Diceros bicornis minor: one gene and its partners. The protein of the gene in region 1 interacts with the protein of each later gene in a pairwise test. Links are inferred from orthologs where the notes say so. Each region holds a gene or a part of one and is shown on either strand. Other genes may lie near its edges. The genes, in order: TRIM39, EIF4A2, CCNC and PLCD4.

Region 1 (8,094 bases):
ATAAAGTGCTAAGACATTAAAATCTCTAGTTCAAATTACTCAAACATTTACCCTGCGTCCCAGCAGTAAGTTAAACCAGATGCCATGTTATCCATTATCTGGGGAAGATGCAAACTACAGACTGGTTCAGTTTAGTCTGGTGGGGATCAGGCTAAAGTTATGGTGCCTATTCCCAATACCAATGGGAAAAAAAGGGACATTCTGAGCAGGGGGAGAGAATGAAGAAACCAGACTACTTCTCAGTTCTTCCTAAGTTTGATTTTTTCCATGTGGTTTCATTCATTTATGAAAGACATGATACATTCCAAGACCACATATACTCAAAGGTGTTACAAAAGTCAGAGAGAAATTTTGCGGTACTCCTCACCACTGCTCTTCTTCATGCTTGAGGATAACCGATCAGGTGTACTATGTGCTCACTGTATATGTAGCTCTAAGGGGACTACAGAATGAGGATCAGATACCATCTTGCCCTCAGGAGCATCTGATCCTCTACCCAGGGAGTCTCCTATCCTCTGTGCTCCTCCCTCTTCCCTCTTGTTGGCATCATGCGCCTGGTTCCCCACCTTGTACTCCTGTGTGGCATCGTCCAGTGGCACGACGGTGTGGGCCCGGTGGGTGTGGGAAATTGCACATATCAAACATACAGCCTCCTGGTCCTCATAGCAGAAGAGGCTGAGGGCTTCATGGTGCTGGGGGCAGAGGCTCTCATCCCGGATCTTCCGCTTGACAGCCTGGAGCTGCTTGGCAATTTCTACCATACTGCCTAGTTGTCGATTAGGCCGGAGACTGCGGTAGCGAGATGTCTTTCGACAGACAGGACAAGGGAAGTCCCTCTCTAGGTCCTCCCACCAGCGGGTGATGCAAGCTTTGCAGAAGTTGTGCCCACACTCAATGATGACGGGCTCCTTCAGATACTCCAGACACACGGAACAACTCGCCTCTACCTGTAAGTTCTCCAGAGCTGCAGCTGTGGAGGCTGCAGAGGCCCCAGCCTCTAACAGACTTGTCTCTGCCATTATTTAACTTGGGAATAGGAAGGGGGCAGATAAAAGAAAAATATTAGTTGGAGATTTAATTTTTCTGCATCCTTAGCCTGACATTTACCCCCATGTTATATCCTAACTCCAGATGTAGCGCCATCTTGGTGCTTTACATCTTCTCTTCCACTAAATTCAACCCGTCTTTTGTTTCTCCATTTCCAAAACTTGTGACTCCCAGCCATCAATCTAATTTTTTTCCTTCTTCACCAAACTGACACGCAACCCCCAATTTCTTCTGTCTTTTACCTCTGCTTTCTTTTGTTAGAAACAGAGGCTTCCTTCAACCCAGTGTATTTCTCCTGATCCAGGCTGATACACTTACATCTTAGAACCAACAGTTCTAGACTAATGTATCTGTAGTTTAACATATTTTTCTAATATGTTAGAAAGGAGTTTGGGAAAGTGAAAAGAGCCATAGAAGTCAAAGTATTAATTAAGATTTCTTAAATTAACTATATTTTAAAGTTTAATGTTATAAAGAGTTTTATTACAATAGTCCATGGGAGGGTAAGCTTGATTCTCTGCCACTGGTCTCTTACTCTTTCAAAAGGCGATAAATGGCATGAGTTAGGCAAGGGTAACAACCTCTTCTTTTCAGGAAAGTTTGAAATTCTTCCTTTCATCAGACTAGCCTAGAGGAAGTGTACTCTCTTCTTGGAATGAAATGATTCACACAACATCCCATTTCTATTTGTGTGCATTTGGACACTTGCAACTGCTGAAAAGTGGTAAATTCATGGCAACTATAGTAAAGAGTATATTACTGAGCCCAGGCCAACAACTTCTTGAAAAGAAGGCTGACAAGTCTGTTCTAAATATTCAGCAGTGATTGGAGTCTTTTGAAATAGCTATTGATAACTAAGTCCTTGGACATACTGTGCCTCCAACTAATAGGTTCTAGAGTGGCTGGGAATTAAAAGAAAGAAAAGAGGCAACAAAACCTCCCTCAAGTGAAGCCTCAAGAACTGGAAATGGACCAAACAGATTTATAAAGCAGAAGACTGGTCCTCTATCCTTAAAATGTCACCTCTTTTATCCATGAAATAGTTGATTTCTCTATCCCCATAACCCCTCCTGTCCACCCTCCCTCCTCCTCCCTCCCAAGAGACTCAAAAGAAGGAAATTTAGTAGGTCTATGTGCTGATAGATAAGTGGCCACGTGATAAGTTGGGTTAACAATGATTATTGCTGTATATATTGATGGCACACATGAAAAGTGTTTAATTTGGAGTAGGAGTTAATAACTTATTTGGATCTGAATTTCTTCCCTCAACCAGGAGAGGAGTTCAGTTCGATTTTTCTCTACCTATGGAAATCCAACTTTGACTAGTGACCCTGCCCCTTCCCCAATCTTCTAGAAATTAGGTGGCCTCCTCACCTGGAGTGAGTTGAACTGTATGCAGTTAGGGACCAGGATGGATCTGGACTGGCAAAGAAGTGGTGTGAAAGAGAAATGGGGAAAAGGTTAGGGAAGTATGGAGAGGGCTTGGAGCTACAGCCATAGCGAGGCCTCAGGTGGCTCTGGGTTGGTCATTTCTTTCCCTCTATTCCTCGTGTCTCAGTAGAAGGGCAAACTTCAGGGACGTCCTCATTTTGTTTCTAGCACTGTCCGGGGTCCCACTTTGCGACCCTCTCCTGAGCGTGGTCCGCAACTCGGTCCCACCCCGGTCTCCATCTTCTCCCGCCAGATCTGGCGCAGGGGGATTGGAGAGGAGGGAGGGGTGCGTGTCCAGGTGAGGAGTAGGTGTGACGTGAAGGTGGGATGCCCGCCGCTATGACGCAGCCGAGACCCGCGGTGACGGCGTCAGCGTTTCACCCGGGGCGGCGAGCCGCAGCGGGACGGGGGAACGGCGGGGTAGCCAAGCAACGCCGGACGCGCTGACGTCGCCGGGGCGGCAAAACGTCCGCCCGGGCCCGAGGCGGGCGGAGGCAGCTGTGGTTACGTGCCGGGGGCTGGTGACGCAGTCGCGGGGCGCTGGGACGCGGCGTGCGGAGCCGGCCGGCGGGGGCAGGCCCCAGGGCCCGGCGCGGCGGCGGGACAGCACCTACCTTCCCGGCTTCGGGTCCGGGAGTGCGGGGCGCGGAGCCGCCGGAGCGCTGCCTCCCTCCTTCCTCCTCCCCCCGCCCCCGCCCCGCAGCGCGACACACAATACTCGCCGGAAGCGGAAACCGCGCCGAGAGGCTCGTGTCAGTGGAAGCCGGTGTGTTGCCGGGCGGCCACGGGAGGGGTTAGTGGTGCCTGTGGAGGAAGGAGAAGGCGGGGGGCCGGAGGTGAGAACCAGCAGGAGGAGTCGGGGGCGAGAAGGGACCCGGAGGGGCAGGTGGCTGAAATGCGGTCGTCCAGGTGACCCGAGGAATCCTCCGGGGAAAGAGGGCCGCGCATGCGCGAGGTTGAGCGCTGAAGCCCATTGCCCGCAGGGCGCCGACGGGCTCCGGGACCGGCGAGGCTGTCCCGTGCAGGCTGCGGGCCTGGGCTCTGGCCAGGCCCGTCTGGTCCCGGGTGGGGCTGGGAGCCGCCGGGGGCGGGGCAAGGGCGGGTCGCGGACTTTGAGCTACACTTCTCCTCTCTGCGGCCCGTCCAGGGGGAAGGTGGCGAGTGGAGGCGGCGGCCAATTACGTAATTGGCGGACCTGCGGTCTCGGCTGGCACGTCACTTCCGATTAGTTGAGTTTTTAGCCTTTTAACATTCAAGGACTAGGTGAGTTTTCTCTACTGTGGGCTTCAAGTACTCCTCGCCCTACCCCTGCGTGGCGGCCTTTGTTGAAATTATCTGCCTTCCCCGCCAGCGTGGGAGGCCGGAGAGAGCTGGTACTGCGACTCCGCTGTTCACCTTTGTATGCTCAGCTCCTGGGTCGGGGCCCGACCGCAGGAAGGGCGCGGCAAACACCCGTTAACTGCATGCGGGCCAAGGCCTGTTCTTTCCACTTTTGGGACTGTGACTTGAGTTTCTGCACAAGAGCAGATGGTGCTTGTGTGAGGACTCCAGACTTTTGCATTATAGCCTCGCTGCTTTCCTCTCCTGCTGCTGGAAGCTTCGCAGCCCTGTGACGTTGGAGGAAGAGGGTGAGGTGATGAGGCTGGGAAAGTCGCTGAGAGAGGTGTGATGAGCCTGGGGAGGAGGTGCTGAGTAGAGATGATGGAGCTGGGGAGGAGCTAGTGCTGGGTGGAGGTGTGATGGGGCTGGGGAGGAGCTAGTGCTGGGTGGAGGTGTGATGGGGCTGGGGAGGAGCTAGTGCTGGGTGGAGGTGTGATGGGGCTGAGGAGGAGAGTGTATGACGCTACTAGTAGGAAAGGCAGCTTGCCCTGCCCTCTCTGCCCCTACACTTGGCGTGCAGAATGTCGGCTGAAAGAGATGAACAGATTTTGGTGTACCCTCCGAGAGGAAATGGCCCAATGGCCCAACATGTTTTTAAGTTGTGATGCTGTTTACGAACACTGTGGAGTATTTAACCTCTCATTCTGGGAGCCAGAAACTATTTACTTGCAGAAAATATCAAATGTGCAAGGTATAAATATTTAGGATTACACATCTAAATACAGTTTGTCTACTTGTTCTTTACTGTTCCTTTGTTTTTCGTTCACGTTTTTCCGGAGTCCATGATTTAAAGAGGATTAAACTTGAGAAAACTACATTTATTAACTTTTTCCCCCTCATTGCTTTTTGGCCATTAGGCATTTTTGCAGCAGTACTTGTCCTAGTTCACACAATGCCTCAGTTCTAAGGTAGGGTAGTTTGAAGGCCACTAACTGGGCGGTCAGCCTCTTTAGCCTTGCTTTAGAGGGAGAGTGGTGTTTGTGAGGTTTGGTTCTGGTTTTGATCTGTTCATTTGTAATTTTTAAGGTGTTACTAGCCCTCCATTCTGGCTTTCTGTAGGTGAGCAGGGATGTGGTTAGACTAAGGAAATTCCCAGGAGGAAGTGCATTTCCAAGGATTATGAAGAATGTGTTTGCCTGGAGACTAATAGGTTATTAAGATTTTATGCTGAATATGGAAGGAGAGGGGGGAAAATGTCTAGGTAAAACTATAAAATTATGAAGGACATGTAGTATGACATAGAACAGGGATTGGCAAACCTATCTGGAAAGAGCCAGATAGGACATATTTTCAGCTTTGTAGCCCACACTCTTTGTAGTGTGAAAACAGCGTTTGACAATACTAAATGAGTGAGCGTTGCTGTATTCCAATAAAACTTTATTTATGGACACTGAAATTTGAATTTCATATAAATTCTTCACGTCATGAAATATTATTATTTTGATTTTACCCCCAATCATTTAAAAATGTAAAAACCATTCCTAGCTTGCGGGCCATACAAACACAGGTAGCAGACCATAGTTTGCTGACCTCTGACATAGAACAATAATGAGGTACATGGTATTTTCCAAGAGAGAACAATTGGGAAAGAGAGTGAACACAATGATATGATCTCTTATTTCCATCTGTCTATATAATAACACAAAATAATAATAAAGGAAATCTGAGCTCTTAACACAAATTTATTATGACCTGTGAAACTTTGTGGACTGAGATTTATGTACTAGGGTAGAAGTACATTCTTTGAACAAGGAAGTGTATTCTTCGTTTAAAATTAAAAAGGATTGTAGTTCCAGAGAGGTGGAATAACGCTGAGTTGTAATGTTGATTTATACCAAGAGATTTCCAACACAGGAGTGTACAAAAATGAATTACAGTAATGAGATACAGGGTAATTAAGAAATTTTTTTAATATATATTTTTAATATTGTTTTTGTATCTGGAAAGGAGAATAAAAGATATCTTGAAACCACTGAGTCATATAGAGGAAATAGATATATTAGCAGTGCAGGTGGAAAATTGGTTGAGGTCAAATATGGTAGGATGGGTAGGGAGAGGGTTCAACTGTCCAGACTTCCGAGATTCTTAAGAAAAGGCAAAACATCTAATTTTCTCTCACCATTTTTTTTCATTATGAAACATTTCAAACATATAGAAGCAGTCTTCAATTTGCTTATTATACTTTATACTGGCTTTTATCTTCCCAGTTCAGTAACATAGAGCTACCTCACTCTTTTTCAAGTCTGTATTATTACTTCATTGTGAAGATATATAATTTATTCAACCATTTTATTACGAGTATTTGGGTTCTTTCCAAGTCTTATTAAATAAAGGCTGTAGTGAACATTCTTGGACATGTATCTTTTTTCCCCAGTTTTATTGAGATATAATTGACATATAACTGTATTAATTTTAGATGTACAACATAATAATTTGATATATTTGCACATATATTTTTAGATTGTCATGCCGTGTATTAGTAGGACAAATTCCTGGAAGTTGGGCTGCTGGGTCAAAAGGCATGAAAATTTAAAATTTGAATGGAGACCTCCAGTTTCCTTCCCATAAGAGTGTACCTATTTATACCCACATCAGCATATTACAAGATAGCCTGTGGAGCCACTGCTGAAAGTTTCATATTTAAAAAATTTACTGGTGGGTGTTACAGCTTTACCAAGGAAAGCAGACCAAGTCTCAGCTAGCAAGGCCTTTGGCTTTCCTGCCCAGCGTTACACTGCTATTGATTGTGTGGATTTTCTGGCCTCTCTCATTCTGGAACTTCTGCCATTATAGATTGCCTTTGAGCATGGGATTTTAGTACCTTGTTATATTCTGAATTGTTCTTTTGCTTCCCTCTACCCCCTGACCTATGTAAGTTTTTAATTAACTCATTAAGATTGTAAGTCACTAACTTTAAAAAAAGTAATCTTAGTAGTATCATTTATGATTCCAAATATAAATAGTATAGGTCCTCATTACATGTTTTGTTGCTTTTTAATTAAAAGTTGACTTCTACCATATGTAGGAGGTTACTCCCTGGTTGTCAGTGGTAAAGAAAGGAAAATAGTGAACTTATCTCTTGTGCTAGGGAAAAAGATCATTTATTTGTTCTTGTGATTTTAGGGGCACAATAAATAACATTTTCTTTTCTCCCTACCAGTTTCAGAACAAGAGAGATACAAGAGTCAGACAGAGACTAAAATACCACCTTTATTAGCTTTATGAAACTAATTGGAGGGAATAGCTCAGAAATAGCTAGTTGATTTGCTTACTCTCCCTTGATTTGAGCTTGCCACCCAACACTTGAGGCTGCCCCCTCCCCCGCCATCAGAACTTGCCAGCTAAGTTTCCATATGGCTGGGAGCAGATGAGAAATCATCCCCTCTGTGTTAAGATTTGAGACGAAAAGGGCAAGGAGCTGGGCCAGGCATGCTCAGCTCTGCTCTAAAAACTGCTGGTTACATCAGTCCTCAAAAGGCCAGGGGTCAGGGAGGGGGGAGTGATTGGGGGGAAATCTCAAGGAAACCATGAGAATGAAGAATAATTGTTTCCCCTAATTACTTTAAAACTAGATAGGTAGGTAGGTACACAGATACAGATATACCTTTTTAAATTGTGAAATTGACACATTCAGAAAAGTCGTAAAGCTAAAAAATGTGGCACAGTGATATTTCTGTGAAAAATCACCATGGAACCACCATCCAGCTCAAGAAATAGAACATTGCCAGCCATTCAGAAATCCCCCTCCCCTGTGCCACCTCTTCATCATTACCCCCTCCCTCTCATACAGCCGCCCTGACCTCTACGGTATTTTTGTCCATGCTTTTCTTTATAGCTTCACCACCACCTAAGTATGTGTCCCTAGATACTATGTAGTTTAGTTTTGCCTGTTTTTCTATGTTAATGTAAAAAGAGTCGCATATTGAATGCCTTTGTATGTCAGGTTTCTTTTGCTAATGTTACGTCTTTTATTCACCTGTTGTTGCGTGTAGCTGTAGTTCATTTGTTTTCACTGGTGTGCAGTATTCCATTTTATGAACCTGCCATAATTGATTCATCCTGTTGTTGATGGACTCTGGACTTTGCCAATTTTTGGCTGCTGTGAGTGTTCATGTGTGTATTTACATGTGTGTGCTCACAGTTGTGAATAATTCTAGTAGTGAAATTGCTAGACCACTGGTTAAATATATGTTCAACTTTAGTAGATAATTCCACACCACTTCCCAGAGAGGTTTT
Region 2 (7,517 bases), on another chromosome or scaffold:
TCAGGTACCCGGCTTCAGGGGTACTGTTCCAGATTAAAAGAAACTAAAGAGACAGGACCACTAAATATGATGTGCGATCCTTGATTGGATCCTAGATTCTTTTTTTAAAAGGCTATAAAAACATTATTGGGTCACCTGAGAAACGTTGAACATAGTTTTGTAGATATTATTGTATCGATAGTACATTTGCAGGGTATAATATTTTTGTGGTTTTAGTAAAGGAGAACATCTTTGTTTTTAGGATGTAGTGCTGATTAGGAGTGGTCACTACTATGTCCGTAACTTTCAGAAAGTTCAGAAAAAGTCACAGATAAATATGAGAGAGAGCAAATGCAGTAAACTGTTAACAATTGGTAAGCGTGACAAACATTTGGTATTCATTACTTTATTCTTGGAACTTCTTTTCAGGTCTAGAATTCTGCAAAATAAAAGCTGGCCCCACCTCAGATGAGATCTACTGAATCTGAATGGGAGGGCTGAGTTCACATGTATCTGCATTTCAAATAGATCTCCCCATTGATTTTTATGCATACCACAGTTTTAGATGTACTGATTTGAAGTACAATAATGTACACTTACTTTACTCTTCACAAGGGTGGAGCTAGAAAAACTTCCATATCTTGGTTCCACAATAGAGTTTAATAACCTTGGATTAATGGATTTAAACCCAGTCCTTATATAGTTCAACAGTCCCTTCCACAGTCCTCCTCAATTTTCTCCATTTACTTCAACGCTATTAACGTCTTTACTTATCTTCATACAAATGGTTTTAAAAGTCATTGTGAAAAATGTGGCTGTGAGTGCCACTTTCCTAATTGCTTTGGAGAACACTGCTTATATTCAAGCAGAATCTAGCCTCTAATTTCCTCTAGCAACCGAATAATAAAGAAGTGAGTAGCACTACAGTCTCTATCCAGCTCAAAGTAATTCTTTTTAAACATTTAAATTATAAATGAAGGGACAGCATATATTATACTGTGTTTTTACTATGGTATTACTACTAATAATTTATTATTATTGACATTATTGACTAAATGACATTAATAAGTAATAAATGAGTTAAAGATCCAAAACACATACCTTCACAAACTTTTGCATATCAATAGCTTATCAAGATACTGCTTTAAATGGGTAGCTATCACTTAATATCAACTCATGGACTTAAAATAATGTAAGAACCTCAAGATGGCACACAATACCCCCTGAATGAGAATACATGGTACTTTCCATAGGAAGATGTCACTAGCAGCATAAAGCATACTCAAGGTTTTGTTATTGTTTTTCCATGTCATACTAACAAATTTGTACTAATTCCTTGATTCTTCTGGCGAACCTTGGCTTACAGTTGCTAGATGGGTTTAGAATTGTCAGCTGAGGCTATTGAAGATCAAAACTAAATATGTGGGGCTGGCCCGGTGGTGTAGTAGTTGAGTTCACATACGCCACTTTGGAGGCCTAGGGTTTGTGGGTTCAGACCCCGGGCACAGACCTATGGACCACTCATCAAGCCATGCTGTGGCAGGCGTCCCGCACATAAGGTAGAGGAAGATGGGTACGGATGTTACCTCAGGGCCAATCTTCCTCAGGAAAAAGAGGAGGATTGGTAACAGATGTCAGCTCAGGGCTAATCTTCCTCATTTAAAGAAAAAAAAAAACTAGACTAGGTGGCTCACATAAGGAAAGAATCTGATTTTTAGCATCATTTGCAGTATAAATTTTAGGCCTCACTTGCTCCAGGTTGGCAAAGAAGCACTTATACTTGACTTTGAGAAGGCTATCTAATTTTAGATGTCAGGTAAGTAGAAAAGTTTATATTAACCATAAGTGTATGCTCTGTGTCTGTCGATATGCAAAACTTTGTTAATATGAATGTTTTGGATCTTTAACTCATTTATTACTTATTAATGGTATTTAGTAAGTGTATGCAACATGGTAAGCACAGCGTTTATTAGAAATACATTGTAGAGTTGCAGGCAATGTGGGTCTGGATTTTGACTGGATTTTAGGCTATGAAGCTTTCTTACCTTGAAACCCCTTCAGCAATTGTGACATAAACCAGAGTTTAGCCCTTGATTATTTCCTCTTAAGAAACTCTGGAAATCCTCACAGCATGTAGCAGTAGTGCTAAACCTAAAGAAAACACTCAACAATTAGGTGTTAATTGTTGATTGATTTCACCCTAAGGACTCAAGTGAGACTAAATGGTTGGTCACTTTTCTGATTTAATATTTTCTCCAGTTTCTCAGATTCCCAGGAGAGTTTTAGTAGGTTTTGGACGAGACAATCAAGATCCCTAACTGCCATTCTCCGAAATGTCTGGTATTACCTCAAATATGGATTTGAACATTACAGGGGGATAAGGAGCAGCATCACTGACAGCCAAGTCCACTCTATCTCTTGGTATTAGTTTTTGTGACAGTTCCTGGCACGATAATAATTTTCAAATAAATAAATGGTATTTTGAAAAAAATATATGTGGTATTTAGAACCAAATATCATATCAAATATAATATACAAATATAGAAAATTAAGTTAGTTTTTCCAGTTATCAGACTTTAGGTTGGTCTTCTGAATTAATAAGATGTTTTTCTGAGTATTTGTGATGATATCTTGCAGCGTGGGTAGTATTGTATTTTAAAGTTTAATGACTAAAAATATTGTTTTGTTTTTATCAATGGGCCTGGGTTAGGGCTACAGTTGAAAACATCTGGGGCTTAAAGAATCATGCAGTTTATTTAAGCAGCAAGGGTTGTATTCTCAATTTCGATAAATCAGCATTCATTATATATAGGCAATTAAAACTCAAAGTGCTTTGAAAAAAAATAAGTAATATAGACCAGAAAAAAAGAGTAATATAGACTAGATGGGTCCCAAAGCGGCAAGGAGCTGTATCTGCCAGAAGCATCCATTTAAAACCTTGTGTTACAAGGAAAATTACTCCTCCTTAGTATTATCCATTTGCAAAAGTTTACAATGATTTTATCAGGCATTCCTTACACCTGTTAAAATTATTAGCATTTTTTAAAAAAGCAAGACCAGAGGCAACATGAGGAGAATAGAGTTGGCCACTCCAGAGATCTTTCCACACGACACTACACATTTTTTCTCGCCCTGCACAATGTCTGGTAAACCAGATTTTCTGGGACGTGCTGGGTGGCCGGCATTTCCCCGAGCAGGAGTTGCACACTTTCAAGACCTTAATGCATGTTAAGCCCGCGGGCTAAAGGCCAGGCGGCTCTTTATCATCACGTTAACCAGCGGCGGGAACAAGCGGAATAACGCGATTCCCCTCCGTGCAGAATGCGGACGTGCCTGCCTCTGCGGCATCCAGCGCCGGTGCGAACAGCGAGACCGGTCCCACTTGCCCGCTGGGAAGTCCGGCCGTCCAGCGCGCCTCAAGCTTCCTTCCGCCTCCCGGTCCCGCTCGGCTCCCCGCGCCGCCTCTGCGTCGGGGACGCGGAAACCCCGTAGGAGCACGGCGGGCGGGGAACGGGGGCTGGGCTTCAGCCCGCTGCAATATTCTTCCGCCGCAATGCAAAGAGTCCCAAACTTCCCGCAGGGTCCTGGGATTTCCAGCGACCCTGTAATATTGCGAAATAACCAAATTTGGATTTTCCCACCGACAGGCTTGGGGTATTTTCTGAGGTAAGGACCTCAGGGTCACAATTTTGTGGCTGACCGAAGGGCGACGAGTCAATTCCTCCGCAGAAAACGGGTTCCGGCCGCGAGCCTATAAAAAACGGGCGGCGAGGTCCTGCTGTCTTTTCAGTCGGGCGCTGAGTGGTTCTCCGGATCATGTCTGGTGGCTCCGCGGATTATAACAGGTATGGCTATTTTTCGGTAGTGTTTTGTGGTGAGGGTCATACGGCTGCAGAGGAGACTGTAGTAGATGGCTTGGAGGCAGGGAACTTTGGGTTCATAGGCGTTTTCTTGGGGTACAATACCCCTGTGTCCTTCGAGAAGCTTCCACGGTGGGTAGGGGCCTGGATTGCGGGGAGACGAAACGAGTCTACGGAAACGGAGTGGTTAAAGGTATCATTTTTCCTCCTGAAGATGCTTTGAAGTCTCTGCAGTTTCCCTGCCCGTGCGGAGCACGACGTTTAGTTAAAGGCGTGGCGCAGCCCGCATTCGGTGCAGTGTAACCGGGGCCGAGGGTTTAAGGGCGGCCAGCAGCGCGAGTTGAGGTCCTAGACTTGAGGCGGGGCGGGGGAAGGTGACAGCGGCGCCTACTCGCCACTGCAGAAGGCGGATGGGGCCGCGCCGCGACGGAGCCCTGGCGGACCGTTGGCATAGCCCTCGCCAGGCCTCGGCCCGCGTCAATCACCCGACTTGCGCAGTGTAGGGGGCGGAGCTCAGCTCGTGGAGCTCTCGCGAGACGGGCCGCCGCCGAGACGGGAGCGCCGGGCGCTCGGGCCTGGGGGGAAGGGCCGGTGTCCGTGGGGCCTTTCTGGCCGTCCCTGGTGCTCAATCTCTGGGCAGGCCCGGTACGTTACGTGCCCTGCACCGCCAGCTTCCTTTGCTCTTTCAGGAAGTGCACACGTGCGGGGGAGGCTAACTTGATGTGACAGGTGCTGAAAGCGCTGTCCCCCTGATGTGCCGTTTAAGTTGGCTTGGGACAGGGATGTGCTCTAACGGAACTATTCTTGTCAGCAGAGAACATGGCGGCCCAGAGGGAATGGACCCCGATGGTGTCATCGAGGTAAGAGATGTGGGTGGATTTTGAAATTCTGTAAAGGTGAGTTGGTTCGTCTCATTCATTAATTTTTTTTTCTTCTAAATTTGCAGAGCAACTGGAATGAGATTGTTGATAACTTTGATGATATGAATTTAAAGGAGTCTCTTCTTCGGGGCATCTATGCTTATGGTTTTGAGAAGCCCTCAGCTATTCAGCAGCGAGCTATTATTCCTTGTATTAAAGGTAAAAGAACTCGGTACTTTTTAAAAAATGAATTCAGTGTCCTACATAGACCTGGACCATAAAAGGGGAGATAACTTCTGGGGGACTAGCACCTGTTTGTATTCCTTTAAGTGAAATGATGGCAATCATCTTTCGGGACTGACCTGAAATGAAGAGAATACTCATTGCTGATCACTTGATTATTTGGGCATAATTCATGTTCCAAATGGAATACATGGTGTGAACTAGAAGTGACGGTTTGATGTGGGATCGGTAAATATGTATCCTACTTTTTTTAGGGTATGATGTGATTGCTCAAGCTCAGTCAGGTACTGGCAAGACAGCCACATTTGCTATTTCCATCCTGCAACAGTTGGAGATTGAGTTCAAGGAGACCCAAGCACTAGTATTGGCCCCCACCAGAGAACTGGCTCAACAGGTATTGATAGTGTAGTTCAAAAAAACTGCTTGCGTGTTGCATAGGTTTCAGGTTTCACAACTGTGAAGAATTTACAACTTAGTATAAATTGGTCCTGTCAGAGTCCTCCTTTTAACTACCCATGCATGCAGGGAGTTTTTATTGAAAGTTCAGCAGGAACTGGGTGTGCAGGTATGTTTTTCAGCGTTGTGTAATGTTGAGAAATGGAAGCTTGCTATCCAGGGTGGACTAGATCTGTTCCCATTTTTGAGTTTGAATGCAGTTGTGCAACATGAAAACTGCAGTGACATGTTATCATTTGACTGTCTCAGTAGTTTGTGATGCATCTGTTGCATGCTGTGTTTTCAAAGCTCACTGCTATATTGGCTTTGAAGTAAACCTTGCTAATAAAATTAGGCGCTTTTTTCCTTTAAGATCAAGGTTATGTAAGTCACAGTACCTTGTGGGAAAAATTGAAAGTATCAACAGCTTGTCCTAGCTGTAATTGCAGAGCTTGTTTGCTATTTGCATCTTCCTACACAATGAAGAGAAAATGTAGGAAATGTTTTTCGTTCTTTAACCTCGGTGGTATCTGGGGCAGCAGGATCCCAAGTTTGACAAGGCACAAGAAAAGACATGTAAAGGGAATTTTATCTTGAGGCAGTTGGATCAGTCTGCATTTTAAGCTTGGAAGTAGTTGAGTGCTGTGCATGCATAAAAGCTGTTTGCAGACTAGATATTTGCCATTATGCTTTGGAAGATTAGTCACAGAGCTTGTAATTCTGTTGGATGATAATTAAGGCTTTTGGCTTTTTAGATCCAAAAGGTAATTCTGGCACTTGGAGACTATATGGGAGCAACTTGTCATGCCTGCATTGGTGGAACCAATGTTCGAAATGAAATGCAAAAACTGCAGGCTGAAGCACCACATATCGTTGTTGGTACACCAGGGAGAGTGTTTGATATGTTAAACAGAAGATACCTTTGTAAGTATTGCTGTCTGTTGAGAGTGTAGTTTGTTTTTACTATTGCTAAAATTAAAAATTTCCAATGTTATTCCTGAGAATCGAGAGATGATAGTATGACTTTGTTTTTAACAGCTCCAAAATGGATCAAAATGTTTGTTTTGGATGAAGCTGATGAAATGTTGAGCCGAGGGTTTAAGGATCAAATTTATGAGATTTTCCAAAAATTAAATACAAGTATTCAGGTGAGCTTTATTTCACTCCCTCCTATAGCGGAGGTCAGGTGTAATTAATGCAGGTACTGTTACAATACAACTGAAGTGTTTTATTGTCGTTCCCCCTGCTTAAAGCAATTGATGCATAACTGTCTCTGTCTAGCACAATTCCATAGTAAGACAGACGCTTGGTCTCAAACATTTTTTGAGTATTGTGAAATTGAATATTATGATAATTACTTGTTTGACAGATAATCATTGTCTTTTTTAGGTTGTGTTGCTTTCTGCCACAATGCCAACTGATGTGTTGGAAGTGACCAAAAAGTTCATGAGAGATCCAATTAGAATTCTGGTGAAAAAGGAAGAATTGACCCTTGAAGGAATCAAACAATTTTATATTAATGTTGAAAGAGAGGTAATTTAATTAACATAAAAATGTTAGCCAGATTTTTTTTTTATCCTTCTTGTATAAGCACTGTGCTAAAATTGCAGAAACTAGGATCACATCTTGGTTTTTGTAATAATGCTAGCAGAGTATACACAAGAAGAAAAGTAACTGCACTGGATTGTAAAGACTGGGGTGGACCTCTTTCTTAATGTCCAGTGTCCTTTGTCTTAAGATTTGGTGCAATATGTCCTTAGATTAACTTAATAGATGAATTTCTAATGAATGTAAGTTGGAAACTAAATTATTTTAGTGACTGCTGAATTTCTATATGAAATCTTGTAGGAATGGAAGTTGGATACACTTTGTGACTTGTATGAGACACTGACGATTACGCAGGCTGTTATTTTTCTCAATACAAGGCGCAAGGTGGACTGGCTCACTGAGAAAATGCATGCCAGGGACTTCACAGTTTCTGCTCTGGTAAGAGGTGTTCTAACTTAGTAATGTTAATAATGCTGTTTGTATTTTCGTTAAAGCAGGATTCAGACTACAATATAGCTGTTAAGTGCTGTGTTGTCGTTCCCCCTGCTCAAAATAAAGTTGTTTCTTAACTATACCTGTCTGCTATACTCCC
Region 3 (7,289 bases), on another chromosome or scaffold:
CCAGAAAGTAAATTCCAGAATCCCCCAAACTGTTTGGGGATTCCAAACCTAGGAGTGTCCAGGGTAGAACACAGCATGAGTTAACCGGCACATTGTAAATCAACCTATTTGATTATTGTTCCCTGTGGAGTACAAATGCATTAAAGTGTCAAGGGCTAGTGTTAAGAGAGAGTGTACACTTACCTAGTGTATCAAGGTAGCACTATTATCCTAATCTCTCAAAACAGCTCTTTATAGTCCAGATTGTAGGATCTAAACTTGTTTTAAATAATAAAAGCTGCGAGTAAAAAAAAAAAGTAAAAGCAAAGAGTTATTGAGCTCTTACCATGTACCAGGCACTATTCTAATTTCATTTAAGATTTATTTAAACCTCACCAGAACTCTATGATTTAGGAAGTATGATAATTGCTGTTTTACAGATGAAGAAACTGAGGTTTAGAGTGACTAAGGAGTTTGACCAAGGTTACTGCTATAGACTGAATGTATGTGACCCCCATTCATCTGTTGAAGCCCTAATCTCCAATGTGATGGAATTCGGAGGCAGGGCTTTTTGGAGTTAATTAGGTTTAGATGAAGTCACAAGGGTGGGGCCCCCATGATGGGATTAGTGTCCTTATTCTCTTTCTCTGCCTTGTGAGGACTCAGCAAGAAGGTGGCCATCTGCAAGCCAGGAAGACGGTTCTCACCAGGAACCAAAACTGTTAGCACCTTGATCTTGGACTTCCCAGCCTCCAGAATGTGAGAAATAAATGTCTGTTATATAAGCCATCCAGTCTATGATATCCTGTTATAGCAGCATGAGCTGACTAAGACAGTTACACAACTGTAAGTGGTAGATCTATCACTTGAACCCGATCAGTATGGTTCAGAGACTGAGTTCTTAACTAGTACGCTTTATTGTAAGTTAGAGGTTTAGCCATCTTCAACAAGTACAGGTATCCAAGAATTAAAATAAAAGGAGGCACAGTGAATGACTAGATAGAGAAAAGGACATTTTCACAATAAAGACTATTAGTACCAAAGCAAATTACAATCACAATTTAATTAAAAGTGAGAAGATAGTCCCCAATAATAGTGTTTGGGAGGAGAAACTTCAACTACAAGCCTGGAATAATGTGTTTACAGTAGTTTAGTCATTACAGTTTTATTGAAACTGGGTTGGGTGAAAAGTTGGGTGAAAAGCTCATTGCAGGGGGAATCAGAAGAACTGGATTCTAGCTATTCTTGCCACTAAGTAGCTAAGTAAGCCTGATAAAGCCGCTAAACTTCTAGGCTCTAGTTTCTGAGAAATAGTATTCATGCTGCTGGAGAAAGCATTGTAAGAAAAAAATACTTTTTTGTCACAGAAGAATCAACGTTAGCATCAATAATTTACTGATCACATCCCTATTTGAAAATCACAAGGTAAAGGAAGAATTAGACGAGACAAGACTGATTGATTTCAGTAAATTTAAATTCTGTGAGTAGTGAGGACTGAGAAATAATACTCCTAAAATTATAAGGAAAAGTTTAACAAACTATCAGCAAAAAGAAGCAAATCTACATGGCTCATCATCTTTTGCATCCAGGTAAGCTGGGATATGTAGGCATTTTAACAGCTTTTGTAAATTGCTCGGTCCCCCCAGAGATATCCTTAAATGAAGTTCATTTTGGTTCAAGTCAATTCAATTCAACCTACATTGATCAAGTACCCTCAAAGATGATTTACCCTGAAACTAATGAAGCATAAGCTCAGGACCCTGACTTGCATGGCCACTGGGAGCACTGGGAGCTGCTGAGTATTTGGATTTCTAGGTGGGGAGCAGAAACCAGGTTGCAGACAGGAAGCATTTCTACGAAGCATTTCTGGTAAATTGCCTAAAAGAGTTCACAGAAGGAAGGGACCTAAATCTTCAAGGCTCCAGTAATTTGTTGTGATTTCTTTTCGCATTCTAAATACTCAATTTTCAACCTAATTTTGTGTCCATAGTGTTATAGTCTTTTTCTTTAAGCACCCCTCCCACCACAATTATATAAGAGTCAGGTTCAAATACCATATCTGCTGTGCCTAACATGTGTTATGCCCTGAACTAATGGAGATACAAAGATGAAGGGGCTCACAGTTTTATGGGAAGAAGAGTACAGAATAGATATAAAACAGAATGCTAGTCTAGTGGTAGAAACAAAGCAAAGTAAGAGGAGCAAATAGAACAAAACATTTAACAATACTACTTTGTCGAACTGTGCTTATCTTCTGGATGGTGTCAGGCTGACAACCTGGGAGTTGAAGAAATTCTGAACCTCTGTTAAGTAGCTTATGGCCTGATGTTCCTAAGCTACTGTCCTGCAAACTTTTTTTGACTGGGATCTGCAACATAACAGACAATAGTGTTTGTCAAATATACCACATGCTTCCTACATCTCTCAGCCTCTCTTGCAGTTAGATTAGAGGCATGAGCCTATTTTGGTCAACAGGTCCTGAGAGGAAGTGATTGTGTTGTTCTCTGGTTCAAGTCTCTTAACATTGATTAAGAGCCAGTGAGAGTCCTCTGCACTCTCTCTAGAAGGGTTTTAAGCCTGGAGGCAAAAAACCAAAATGGAGTAGTTGAAAGATGGAAACATACTAGATGCTTGAAGATGTGGAGGATAACCACCAGGGAGAGCAAACTAGTCTACATCAGACTTTATGGGACTTGATGGGAGTGACATGTGACATAATATATTTTTACGTTAAGCTACTGACATGCATTTCACATTTTGATTTAGTACATATATACATAGGTAACTAAATCAAAATTTTAAAATAATTCTCTTGCTTTTTCTGACATACCTGATATTTTGTTTTATTTCATTTGGGAAAATACTTATCATACTCAATTTCACCACACCCTAAGTGGTCTCCACCCACAGTGAGAAAAATACTGTCTTAAGGTACCTTGGAACACGGATCTTCCATGAACAACTTTCAAGTGTGTCCAATTATTTTGAAAAATAATTAGAACTTTTACAATAAATGCGATGTCACAATGATAATAGAAATGGGAAATACAGATTAGTTCATCTTGCAAAATTAAATTATTTCATTTTGTCTGTATGTTTTTATTTGGTACATCTATGTGAATATACATGTGTGTACATATTTACATATACATATATATGTAATAGAGGAAAACGTTTTTAGCTGTTCTGCAAAACTGGCGGTTCTCTAGATTTAAAAGAAAACACTGCTGCTCTACAAGTTTGCGCTTCACTCCAAAAGAATTCCGTTAACAACGTATTCGGCTTGCTGCTGGTAGGTTTCGGTAGGTCCTTTTTTTTTTGTGAGATCAGCCCTGTGCTAACCTCTGCCAATCCTGCTCTTTTTGCTGAGGAAGACTGGCCCTGTGCTAACATCCGTGCCCATCTTCCTCCACTTTATATGGGACACCGCCCCAGCATGGCCTGGCAAGCGGTGCGTTCGTGCGCGTCTGGGATCCGAACCAGCGAACCCCAGGCAGCCGCAGTGGAGCGCACACACTTAACCGCTTGCGCCACCCTGCCGGCCCCTCGGTAGGTCCTTGAGGCCAAAATAATCTTTATTTTTCTTTCCAATTGCAGGAGAAAGAATTAAAGTCAGAAAATCTTATACTTTAATACAATGTCATAGTACTGCTGTGGAGGCCTATAAGACGAAACACCACCACCCCGAACAGCGCTACTTCCCCCATTTCATCCGTACTCCGGTCAACGGTCAACGTGCGCTGCCCACAGACGACCGAGCCCGGACGGCTCTAGGGCAGGATCGGCGCGAAACTCTCGCGAGAGCCTCCCGATCGCAGCGAGCCTTCGGGAGCACCAGTTCTCGTCTCCCAGCTCAGTGCGCGCGCAAGCTATCTCCTCCCCGCCGGCTTCCTCCGCTACCGCGGGAGGAGGAGAGGGCGGAACTTTTATCCATAGGAACGGATTTATGCAGTAGTGTTGCCGGCCGGCGTCAAGGCGAATACGGTGCCATCCTCTTCCTCTACCGTCGCCGCCGCGGAGCGGAGCCGAGCAGATCAGATTGAGGAGCGCGGTTACCGGGCGGGCTGGGTCTATGGTCGCTCCGCGGGCCACTCCGCCGGCTGGTGCTTTTTTATCAGGGCAGGCTGTGTCCCATGGCAGGGAACTTTTGGCAGAGCTCCCATTAGTAAGTGTGGCCTTCCGTCTTCTCGCCCGGGGCCGGCTCTTTCGGGGGCGCTGAGGACGGGCCTGCGACTCGGCTTGGCCTGGATCCCGGCCCCTGTCCCGACGCCGCGGGGTCTCTCGGGAGGCGGCGGCGGCCGGAAGCGGGATGCGCTCTTCTCTGGCGATTCCCCTCTCCCAGCCCCCTGGCCGGGTTTAGGGGGGAATGATCTGTGAGCGGGAAGCGGGGGGAGAGGGTTCAGTCTCCGAGGAAGGAAGGTTCGCGAGTTTAACTTCGGGTTCTCGGATTAGCTAGGCCTGGGGTGGGGGGGATGGGGTGGGGACAGGTATGGGAAGTGTGACACAGTCAGGACTGAGGCTGGCTCTTGTGGTTCGCTTTGGCCTGGGATCTCTTCAGGGGATCGGCATCGTCGTCCTTTGTCATTCCTCCTCTGTCTTGAGTGGATTTGATGTTATTCCGGGGAGAAGGGGGAGCCAGGCTTGTTCTCCCACTAACCGCTTTCTGCCACTACTTTATGCCTCGATGGAGTTTTAGGTTGGTAAGGTCTAGGGCAGGTGCTCTCAGAGTTTATCCATTTTGTTAGTCTGTGCCATATGTTTTATTTTGCAGTGACTTTGCCGATTTCTTTAACCTTTTTCATGAATAAGATATTGTTTCTGTCTAGCTCTTCCAGGAAGAGCTAGAGTAATATGAAAAACACTTGCCCCCTAAATGTATTTGTTTAATTAGGCAGGAAGATGGGTGATGGGACTAGTTGAACTTTGACCAGGCTTTCCTCTGTGCAGTTGAAAGGTGAACAAAATCTGAAGATGATACCTTAGTGTAAATAATTTTTAATGATAAGAGCATTAGTAACTGTAACTTAAATTTTGATTCTGTGAAGAAGACGGATTTCTGTTATTCTTTTTTTTTTAGCCCTTTGCACGAAAAAAAAACAGTGGGCTTGGAAACCTATTTTTAGAAAAGCAAGTTTTCCTTTTGCTCTAAAGCGATTCTGTGGAGAGGAAATGCTCTAGAAGCTTTACTTCTGATCATATTTTTATTTTACACTGTTTTCACTCACTGAAATATTTGCTTGGGCAAAATTAAAATACAGAAAATTTAGGTGATGGAGAAGAGAGATGCTGATAAACTTTGAAAGAAGCTGAGAGAATTAACAGGTAGCTAGCTGTTGGTTGTCAGAAGTTATAGCGGTATTCAACTTTCTAAAAAAAAATCCTGCCTCCCTTTTGATAAGTGTTTTCATTAGGCTTTCATTTACTGTTGGCATAATGAGAACACTTATCACAAGGGGGGCAGGATCTATTTTATAAAAGCAATTATTTTTTCACTTTTCAAATATAAAATTATTATAATATTAAATGTGGTTTTTTGAAACTGTCCTTGCCTCCCAATTCAAATAGTCCTGGAGGAAGGGGCCACTTTGCCCTACTCAGATCCCTTGCGAATCATGGAGCCCATGATCTGCAAAAGGTAACGAGTATGAAAGACAAGACAGTCAATTCTGGAAAAGCAAACAAACAAAAAGATTGTGAAAGCCATTGTTTTAGGTGATTTTGGTGAAAAGGGAAAATTGACTTGAAATATGCTGTATTTCATGGCTCCAAGTTGCACATTTTAACATTTCTGAAATCAGCATGGCAATTTTTTTTCTTAGTAACACATAAATAATGATGAATCTTAGAATTACAAGTCGTATTGGTTTTACCTTCCATACTATGTGAAATTTATATTTTTAAAAACATAAAATGACTGTAGAGATGAAATTAGTAATAATTCTGAAACAGAGTGAATCACAATATTTTCCACAAAGTTGAAGTAGAACACAGCACATTCTTTCACCAAGATGCAGTAAAACTAGAAGGGTGCTAAATACTTGCTGGTTGACTGAATGAATTAACAAACAGGTAACAAAGATAAAAACTACAAAACCAACTCTGGATACTTTATTGTATCAAAGAGGTAACTGAAAATACAGTTACATAATATCTAGGAACTAACATAATAAGATCAATATATATCCGTATCTATGGGATTATAGCTGGCGCCAAATTTAAGAAAATTAACATAACTGAGAAATCAACATAATTGAAAATTTAACTGAATAACTAAGAAAGAATAAAAATAAAACAAATATTCTACTTAAGAATATTGAAAAGGAAACAGTGAAATAAACCTAAGAAAAACAGAAAAAAAGACTTAATAAAGGTAACACTGATAGTAATGTATTAAAAGGAAAAAAAATTGTCAGAAGTTATAAAGAGCTGGTTCTTTGGAAGAGAAAACCAAAACAAGATGAAACTACTGCTAGCTGAATCAAGGTGAAAAGGAATGATACAAAAATACAAAGTTAGAGGGCCAGCCCGGTGGTGCAAGCGGTTGGGTGCTCGAGCTCTGCTGTGGCGGCCTTCGCCGGTTCGGATCCCGGGTGCGTACCAGCGTACCACTTGTTAAGCTATGCTGTGGCCGCGTCCCACATAAAGTAGAGGAAGATGGGCACGGATGTTAGCCCAGGGCCAGTCTTCCTGAGCAAAAAACAGGAGGATTGGCATCAGATGTTAGCTCAGGGCTGGTCTTCCTCACAAAAAAAAACAAAATTAGGAATGAGAAAAGTAAATAAACCCAGATGTACCTTTGGGTTGTTTCCATGGTAGTAAATTTGAAAGCCAAAACAACTTAAGAAAGTTACCAGAGGGATACTACTTAAAAAATGCTCTAGGCCCACATTATTTCAAGGATAAATTTTTTCTCAGTTTTCAGGCGAATCTGCTGTTGACATTGTTCCAGGTCACAGAGAAAGAAAGCTTTCCAGTTCTCTTTATGGTGCCATGATAACGCTGATAAAATCTAGCAAAGGTAGCACTAAAAACAGTCTCACTTTTGAATATTGATGCAAACATAAAATATTACCAAATGGAGTCCAGCGTTACATTAAAAGTATAAAAAAATGACAGTGATTTTATTGTAGAAGTATAGTCAATATTGGGAAATCTGTTAATAAACAGTGAAGGCACCAAGAAGACATGTAATAAAATTCAACATCTATTGACTAGAGCTTTTACTAAAACGTAAATAGGATGCTTTTGTAATGTGATAAAAACATACCAAAGCATTAAGAGATATTTGATGGTGAAACATTAGGAAACTT
Region 4 (7,861 bases), on another chromosome or scaffold:
GGGCGTCCTCTTTCCAGAGGTCTAGGAGGGAGCCAGAGGAATTCGTCCATCCCCTTTCCTTGGCCGGGGGTGGTATGGATCGTGAGCTTCGATTATGTCTCTAAAGTAGACTCTCTTAGATGTGTCCCATGATCATATGTTTAGAGGGACCATAAAGTGTTTGGCCAATAGGAAGCACAGCGTTATGATGCAAGTATGATATTTTAAAATATTCCTCATTATGGCTCACATTTATTAAACGCATCCTGGTTTCAGGTCCCAGGCTAGATGCTTTATACATGAACTTATTGAGTTTCTGTAACCTACTAGGCAGGTACTGTTGAATCCCCATTTTACAGATGAGGAGACTGAAGCTTAGTTTAAGTATCTTGTCCAAAGCCACTCAGCTAGAAAGTGGCAAGCCAGGGCTTTCATCCAGGCAGTCTGATGCCTGAGATCATGCTCTTGTTAGAATAAGAATAACAAGACACAACCTATGAGTTACTGGGCCTTATTATATGCCAGGACTCTTCTAAGCCCTTTACGTGCAATAACTAATTTAATCGTCATAACGGCCTTTAGAGGCAAGTTCCATTATAATTTCCACTGTACAGGCTCAGACATAGACACAAGTGGGACAGCACAAGGGCACACTGTAGGACCCCCCCCTGCTCTCAGGCTGTGGGGCTCCTCAGGGTCCTATGCACCCACGTGCCCACCCATAGCTATGCACATCACTCACAGCTCGGCTTGGCACTGCCTCCGGCCTGTCGGGAATGCCAGACTGTCATGCCGTCATCCTGAAGTCTGAAGTATCTCAGTTTCTTCCAGCTTTTGGACCGCACCTTGCGCATTGGTGTGCCTTTCTGCATCAGCAGCAGGTCTTGATTGATGGGCAGCCCTGGGCCAGGAGAAGCGGGGGCTGGATAGCTGGTGGGGAGGGTGGAGGGCCCAGGAGGAGCTCGGGAACAGGGGTCCAGCCTCCTCCCTGTCCCTGGGCTGTCTCCCCAAGCCCTCTTCTCCTGCAGGGGTACTCACGGCCTTGCAGCAGGGACGCCATCACCCACTGCTCCACCAGCTGGTGCTAGAGTCACCTAAAGGAGCAAGGAGGAGCAAAAGGCTCATCTCACCGGTCTTAGAATCACAGATCAAGGGAGGAAGAGAAGGAAACCAGTGTTTCCTGACTGCTCGCAATGTGTCAGCCCTTCACCTACAGAGTCTGTAGCTCTTTGTACTTCTGAGTTTGGTGGCTCTGAGGCTTAGAGAGGCTAAGAAATCTGCCTCAAGTCACATAGGGATTCAGAATTTACAGCCAAGTATGTCTGATTCCAGAGCATTTGCTGTTTCCCACAGCCATCTCCAGAGAGGGCTAAAGCAGGGTTTTCTGCCAAATACTCCCTCCTTCCCAATACCCCCAAATCCCTTAGGTAACCCCGTGCCACACTTCTCAGCTCCCGTTATTAGGAACCACCATCTTGCTGGCTGCCCCCTTTCAGAACCTGGAATCTCTCTACATCTAGCCTTCTCTTCTCCAGGTGGAATCATCCCTTCCCTATTCTGGGAGCCCTCTCCATGCTAGGGCTCCTGAAGGGCTAGGGCAGAGCGTTTCTTTTGTCTCTTCTATAACAAATAAGCCATCTTCTTCTACCCTCACATGGTAAAGCATATTTTATACTCTTTTTCATAACAGTTATTCTCACAATTTTAATGGACCAGATAAATTACATAGTTTCAGAACTGCATTTTCAAGTTTTTTCTCTACCTATTAAAAAGCGTTCCTCCTTCAAGATATATGCTAATTTAGGACCTGGTTAAGTTGTCCTAGTAGATAACAACAAACTTGCCTTGAAAAGAACTAGAAGGTGTGATACGTGGCCACTTTGATTCTAGCTCTGCCCCTATAAGAAATACTCAACTCTTGACCAAATCCTTCTGAAACTGGCAAAGCTTATGAAACAGAAAACTCTAGGCTTTTGTATAAGCAAAGGGTCTAGACTTGAATTGCAATGTTGTGTTTTTTAATTGACAAGTTTAAAATTTTGACAATGGTGAACATCTAAAACACCAAAAGAATGTCTAAAGCAATCATTCAGTTAGCGCTCCATGAAAACATCATGCAGTTTAACTCCCTATAGTTTACAAGTGAAAAAGCAGAAGTCAGAAATGTGATCTGACTTATCTGGGGTCACACAGCGTATTACTGCCCTGTCTCTCTCTAGTGGGAAGAGCCTATAAAGCCACCCAGGGGTGACTAAGTCTTTAGGAAGAATGTGGAAGTCACTGAGAATGCGGCTTCCCTGACTGCAGGACCTAGAGCCCAAGACTTTCTAAAGGAGTAGCAATGCGCAGGTGCACAGAGGGACAGGGGAAGGTTGGGAATCAGCCTGTACCTAAGTGGGAAAGATAACTCAAGGCAGCTCTCAGGAGAGACAGAATCCTGAACAATTCCAAGAAGAAAAGGTTTTGCTGGCTGAGGCTGAATATGTGAGCCTGGGTGAGACCAGAAGAAGCCTCTGGATGGAAGAAGGGACCCAGAGTGCTTCCTGGGAGACAGAACAGCATTTCTGCCTTTCTGGGTGGAGATGCACAGTTTGGAATCTGAAGCTTGCAAAAGCTATGAAGACGGAAGTAGAAAGTAACAGGTCCCTCTTAAATGCCTCAGGTCCTCAGGCTCTGGGTGGGGGTGGGGTCAGTGTGGGAATGAAGTCCAATCCCCTTGCCAACATCCTGCCTTGTCTTCTCTCTGAACTTCAGCTCCCCAGTCTGGGGCACAGGGACTCTGGGATGGGATGGGCCTTGGTCCTGGGAGAAGACAGAATTACCTTCTCTCATGCCTGTGTCCAGGAGCCTCACAATGATGTCCTGAAACCTGGGAAGCCTGAGAACAGAGCCCAAGTGCCAGGACACCCCTATTTTGGAGCCTACCTCCTCTCAAACCAGCCTTAGAAAATTATTTTATCCTCTTTTGTCAAACTCTTCCAACCCCAGGGCTTGGCGTGTTCTTCCAGTCCTGCTTCCGTTCCTGAAGCACGATCTTAAACCTGTATCCAGGGATGTGTGGCCATAAGAGGGCCAATTTCAACTCAGGGAGCCACAGAAAGTCACAGCTGGCCTTCATGTTATAGAGAAGGGGACAGAGGAGTAGAAAGATTAGCTGAACTGCCGGAGTCACCTAATGAATTAAGTGGCAGAACTGAGACTAGAACCAAGGTCTCTATATGACCAGCTTGGAGATCTCACCAAGACTCTGCCCTTAGAAAGGGCTTTCTCTAGGAAGCAGGTTCAAGCAGAGCTAAGAATCAGCAAGGGACATGGATGTTTGGTCCTCTCTCCTCCATCATTTCTGTTCCCACCAAATCCCACTCAATAGCCTTTCCTTTCTTTCTTCCTATTTTCTTTCCTTTCCCCATCCTCTGCCTGACCCTCCCTTTTCCTTTCTCCCCAGCTCACTCTTCTCTCTCTTGATTCCTCTCACTGCCTCCCTATTTGCTCACTTAAGTCAGCCTCTCTTTGCTCTCCTCTTCTCATCCTTCTTCTCATCCCTTCTCCCCATCACCTCTTCCTCTCATTTCTCCTCCAGTTCCCAATAGCTCTGGTTCTCGTCCTCTGTGAGGATTTGAGACTGTGGTCCAGGAAGGAGGACACTTGGGCTCAGACACTCAGTAGCACATTCCTCTGCTCAGCCTCACTTTCCTCTGTATCCTAGGAGACTGACCAAACAAACTGCCCAGAGAATGGCACTTAGAACCTAGGTGTTCTAGGTCTTGGTGTTTCCTCTGGTGTCTGAAGGTAGGATGGGAAGGATGGTCACAGCTGATGCAAGTGAAGTTAGGAGAGGAGGGACAAAGGATTTGGGAGTGGGAGCAAGAGCAAGGGGCAAAGAGCAGAGGACGAAGACTGGGAGTAAGAAAGATTGGGTCTTAACTGTCCACTCCCAGACACGTATGTGGAGATCCCTGAGGATACGGAAAACTACCTCTATAATACAGATAAGAAAACAGAGACACAAGTAAGGTGGCAAGTGGCCAGGGCTGCGGAGCAAGATTTGTTCCTCAACTTCCAGGTGGCTTATGTCACCTAGAGATGGACTTCAGCAGAGTTGCCAGTGGTGCCAGTGGCATTACAGGGGAATTCAGGGTGTCTCAGGCCTCTCTGAGGGGCAGGAAGGAAGAAAATCATTTTGTCTGCTCTCTTGCTTCTGAGCAGGATTGTTCCTGACCTACTTCACATAAGGAGGACAGAATGGCTCTGGTCATATGTCATAGGTCATAGCCCTCAGAACGTTAGAGCTTGAAGACTCTTTTATAACATATCTAATCCGGAGGTTCCTGGCTATATCAATATTCCCTGGAGAGTATCTTAAAATAGAGATTCCTTAGCCCCACTCATAATCGACCAGATCAGCATTTCCAAGGATGGGGCGCAGGAATATTTATCTTTCACAAGCACCCCCGACACACAGGCAAGTCTGGGAAACCCTGAACTCCCTCCTGTTACAGATCTGGAAGTTGTGGTCCAACTAGCTAGAGCATGGCTACTCCTATTCTCTCTCTTCCCTTACTAGGGTGGGGTAGCTAAGAGGTCCCCATATACAGAGGTGACTGACACAGCAAGGGGAAAACCGTAAGTCAAAGAGGATAACCTAGAGAGAACCAGGAAGGTGGAGCCTTTTAGACCTGTTCAGGCAAAGGAGTCCAGGGTACAATTTAAGCAGAGTAGATAGCATGTGGAGGGCAGAGCTTGGAGCAGAGGCTGGTCAGAGCCTCCAGGCCCTTACCGTGGGCAGGGTAGCAGTCCTGCGTCTGTGAGCTCCGCGATGCTCTCCACTGTGGGACGAGGAAACCCAGCCAGGCTCCTTTTCTCTTTTGCTCCTCTCGTACTCCTTTGCTTCCTTCCCTCTTCTACTGCAGCTTGCTGCTGTCACTAGCAGTTACAGCCAGAGGGAACGAGTAGGGTGGGGAGAGGTGTGAGCTCTTAAAGGCCCAGGACACTGGTCAGTGGGGTGGAGAGAAAAGGATTAAGGGGAGGGATTGATGGGCACCACGTCTCCAGGGAGGAGGAGCCTGGCTGCCCTTCACCTGGATGCCAGCCCTCACTGACCCCAATCCCACAGCAGCTCTCAAAATGAAACTCAAGGAGTGTCTGAGTTGCAGTGTTCCATGAATCACTGCTTTTCATTCTGGTCCGTTTCTCTCTGCATGTTATTTGGCTGTCTTTGCCCTTATTTCATCTGGCTCCTTTCCAGGGTGTCTGTTTCCATCAGCCTGCTTCTGTGTCTCCGCATCCTGCCTTGCAGGGCACTCAGTCTAGTTCTGTGGCACAGGGAAAGGAAAACAGAAATAGGATGGGAACGGAGGCAGATGAGAAGAAAGCGTGGAGAGGAATGATCTTGGAGTGTAGAGGGACAGGTTAGTATCTATGCACTCGCTAGATTTAGCACTCGCTAAATATTGAAGGAAGGCATACGTGAATGTATGAAACAATATACTTATCCTTCCTTTACATTCATTGGTTCTACGAGCATTTGTTCAGCCCCTCAATATGCAAGGACATATCTGCGTGTTCGTAAAGGAGTGTGTAGAGATGAACAGACTCATAATATGTAAGAATCGAGGGCAGAAGAGGAGCACAAGACTGGAAAGACACCCAACTGGGGAAGGGAACGTCAGGAGCTTCTTACAGGGTGAATAAATGGGCAGATGAAACAAACCTAGACTGAGGAAAGAGGACCAAGTTGGGAGAGGAATAGGAGATTGTAAAGGGCTTTATTTTGGCCCCTTGCTTCACAGTGAGAAACTGAGGCCCAGGGCAATGTCCTGGATGCCTGTGTCAGCAGCAGGGACAACCAGTCCCTTGTACTCCCCTAAGCACTGTGAGCTGGGACCTGCTTTTGCTCTACCTGGGGGAAGACTGCAGGGTATGGCTCTTTCTGGACCAGAGGGTGACGGTAAGTGAGGGCATAGGGCACAGCCCTGTACTTGGACCTCTGTGGGATCCTTTCTAGTGAGGTGTATCTGAATCACAGGCACAGAGGGAAGTAACTGTATGAAAGGACGTGGTTTTGCCGTGGCCCCCCCACAACACCCCTCAACTGCCTAAGATTCTGCCATTAGTGATTATTTATAGCTAAACCTTTAGTCCCATTAAAATAAAATCCTCCTAAGTGATTACCATAAATGTCAGGATAGTGGTTAGTTTGGGGAGGAGGGAGGGGTTGTGATGGGATGGGGCACAAGGCTGGCTTCTGGAATAGCTGGCCAGTTCTGTTTCTGGTCCTGGGCGCTAACAAGGGTCTTCCCTTTATAATAACTTATTAAACTATACATTTTCTTTATGTAGTTTTCTATATCTGTTATATTTTACAAGAAAAGGGTTTCAAGTTTTTGTAACTGGTAATTTCTGAAGCCTTATTGGTCTTTCATAATTTATTCCTAGGTTGAGTTTACCATACTCTACTGGGAGCAGGTTTTTTTTTTTTTTTTTTTGAGGAAGATCAGCCCTGAGCTAACATCCACGCCAATCCTCCTCTTTTTGCTGAGGAAGAGTGGTTGTGGGCTAACATCCATGCCCATGTTCCTCCACTTTATATAGGACACCGCCACAGCATGGTCTGACAAGCGGTGTGTCGGTGCGCACCTGGGATCCGAACCCGGGTAGCCAGCAGTGGAGCGCACACACTTAACTGCTACACCATGGGGCCGGCCCCTGAGAGCAGGTTTTGATAAAGGAAGAGGAGTATGCGGGGAGTGGAGGCAGAAAAGAGAGGCCCTTCCTGGGGAACAGAAAGATTAGGGGGCACCAAGATTTAAACTGTGTGGATTTCAGATTTACTTAATGGAGGCTCTGTTTCACACGCTCATCTTGCTCTCCCATTTCTACTTCCCCAACACCTCACGTCCTTATTTTTCCATGCTTCCCCTTCTCATTCCTCACTCCTCTTCTACACTCCAGGACTACACACAGTTTGCCTCTTTCTGAGTCACCATTTGCTCCCCTAATTGCTGCCCAACCTCCTTCCCTTCTGGGTGTTCTGTGAGAGGTATTCTCTCTCATCCTGGATTTTCTGCGAGCCCAGATCTCAAGTATTCTGTTTCAGTATTCTCATAAGCACACTAGTTCTCCCCAGATCTTGTGTTCTGATTTTGGGACAGGCCATTGGAGACTTTCGAAAGGTTAGAGTGGCTCCAAAGTGTGGCTTAGAAGACACGCCCGCTGAAGGATGCTGTTTACATCCAGGAAGGGAGCAGACACACAGGCCCTGGGCACAGGAACTGTCCATCTGGTTTAGTTGTTCCTATTTCCATAATGATCCTAGCCCTTCCCCCACTGTTGTCTATTATTAACAGATCCAGAAACCTGATCGGGGCAGCGGCAGCAGCAGAGGGACTTTCTGGGAACCATGCCCAGAAAAGGCCTAGAAGCCCTAAATTGAAATGAAGGGGCAGCTGGCAAAGAGGCAGACCTAAACACTGTACTCTCATGCTGCCACACAGGCCAGCCTAGACCCTCCTCCTGACACCCAGCGGAGGTGTTCTAAACGTCTCTGCTTCTCAGGCTGGGGATTCAGAGACCTGTTCCCTAGCCCATCCAACCAAACTACTCAAACTGAAATAAAGCCCATCTTCTTGGTGGACAAAAAGGCAACTCAAAATATTAAATTCCATCTAAAAAATAATTCATATGAGACCATCTGTAGAATTAAAAGCCAGGATATATAACTTCAAAAGACCAGAGAAAATATAGCCACTCCACCATTCCAGGAAATTTAAAAAACTAACAAAAAACCAAGGGGAGGGAGAAGGACGAGGTATAAAATAAACCAGAGAACGCAAGGATAAAAGTTAAGATAAAAAAACACTAACGGTGTAATATTCCATAGTAA

The links.
Region 2: the proteins of TRIM39 (region 1) and EIF4A2 interact in binary tests that used the Homo sapiens proteins (3 or more experiments, as listed by UniProt). The two-hybrid records come from large-scale screens. The link is inferred for Diceros bicornis minor from reciprocal best matches to the Homo sapiens genes TRIM39 and EIF4A2.
Region 3: the proteins of TRIM39 (region 1) and CCNC interact in binary tests that used the Homo sapiens proteins (3 or more experiments, as listed by UniProt). The two-hybrid records come from large-scale screens. The link is inferred for Diceros bicornis minor from reciprocal best matches to the Homo sapiens genes TRIM39 and CCNC.
Region 4: the proteins of TRIM39 (region 1) and PLCD4 interact in a two-hybrid assay, tested with the Homo sapiens proteins (2 studies listed by BioGRID and IntAct). The two-hybrid records come from large-scale screens. The link is inferred for Diceros bicornis minor from reciprocal best matches to the Homo sapiens genes TRIM39 and PLCD4.

The regions. Positions count from the first base shown.
Region 1 is NC_080753.1:34,653,799-34,661,892, forward strand, and holds the start of TRIM39 (E3 ubiquitin-protein ligase TRIM39), read right to left. Parts: upstream 3,079-8,094; 5' UTR 2,422-3,078; intron 1,027-2,421; 5' UTR 1,020-1,026; coding exon 567-1,019; intron 1-566.
Region 2 is NC_080754.1:37,266,052-37,273,568, reverse strand, and holds the start of EIF4A2 (eukaryotic initiation factor 4A-II), read left to right. Parts: upstream 1-4,429; 5' UTR 4,430-4,591; coding exon 4,592-4,699; intron 4,700-4,785; coding exon 4,786-4,918; intron 4,919-5,026; exon of another isoform or gene 5,027-5,095; intron 5,096-5,196; coding exon 5,197-5,336; intron 5,337-6,132; coding exon 6,133-6,301; intron 6,302-6,415; coding exon 6,416-6,525; intron 6,526-6,572; exon of another isoform or gene 6,573-6,697; intron 6,698-6,766; coding exon 6,767-6,910; intron 6,911-6,953; exon of another isoform or gene 6,954-7,131; intron 7,132-7,225; coding exon 7,226-7,363; intron 7,364-7,416; exon of another isoform or gene 7,417-7,517. UniProt on the Homo sapiens protein: ATP-dependent RNA helicase which is a subunit of the eIF4F complex involved in cap recognition and is required for mRNA binding to ribosome.
Region 3 is NC_080762.1:34,327,987-34,335,275, forward strand, and holds the start of CCNC (cyclin-C), read left to right. Parts: upstream 1-4,267; 5' UTR 4,268-4,345; coding exon 4,346-4,398; intron 4,399-7,289. UniProt on the Homo sapiens protein: Component of the Mediator complex, a coactivator involved in regulated gene transcription of nearly all RNA polymerase II-dependent genes.
Region 4 is NC_080776.1:8,972,057-8,979,917, reverse strand, and holds the start of PLCD4 (1-phosphatidylinositol 4,5-bisphosphate phosphodiesterase delta-4), read right to left. Parts: upstream 3,098-7,861; coding exon 2,963-3,097; intron 1,002-2,962; coding exon 722-1,001; intron 1-721. UniProt on the Homo sapiens protein: Hydrolyzes the phosphatidylinositol 4,5-bisphosphate (PIP2) to generate 2 second messenger molecules diacylglycerol (DAG) and inositol 1,4,5-trisphosphate (IP3).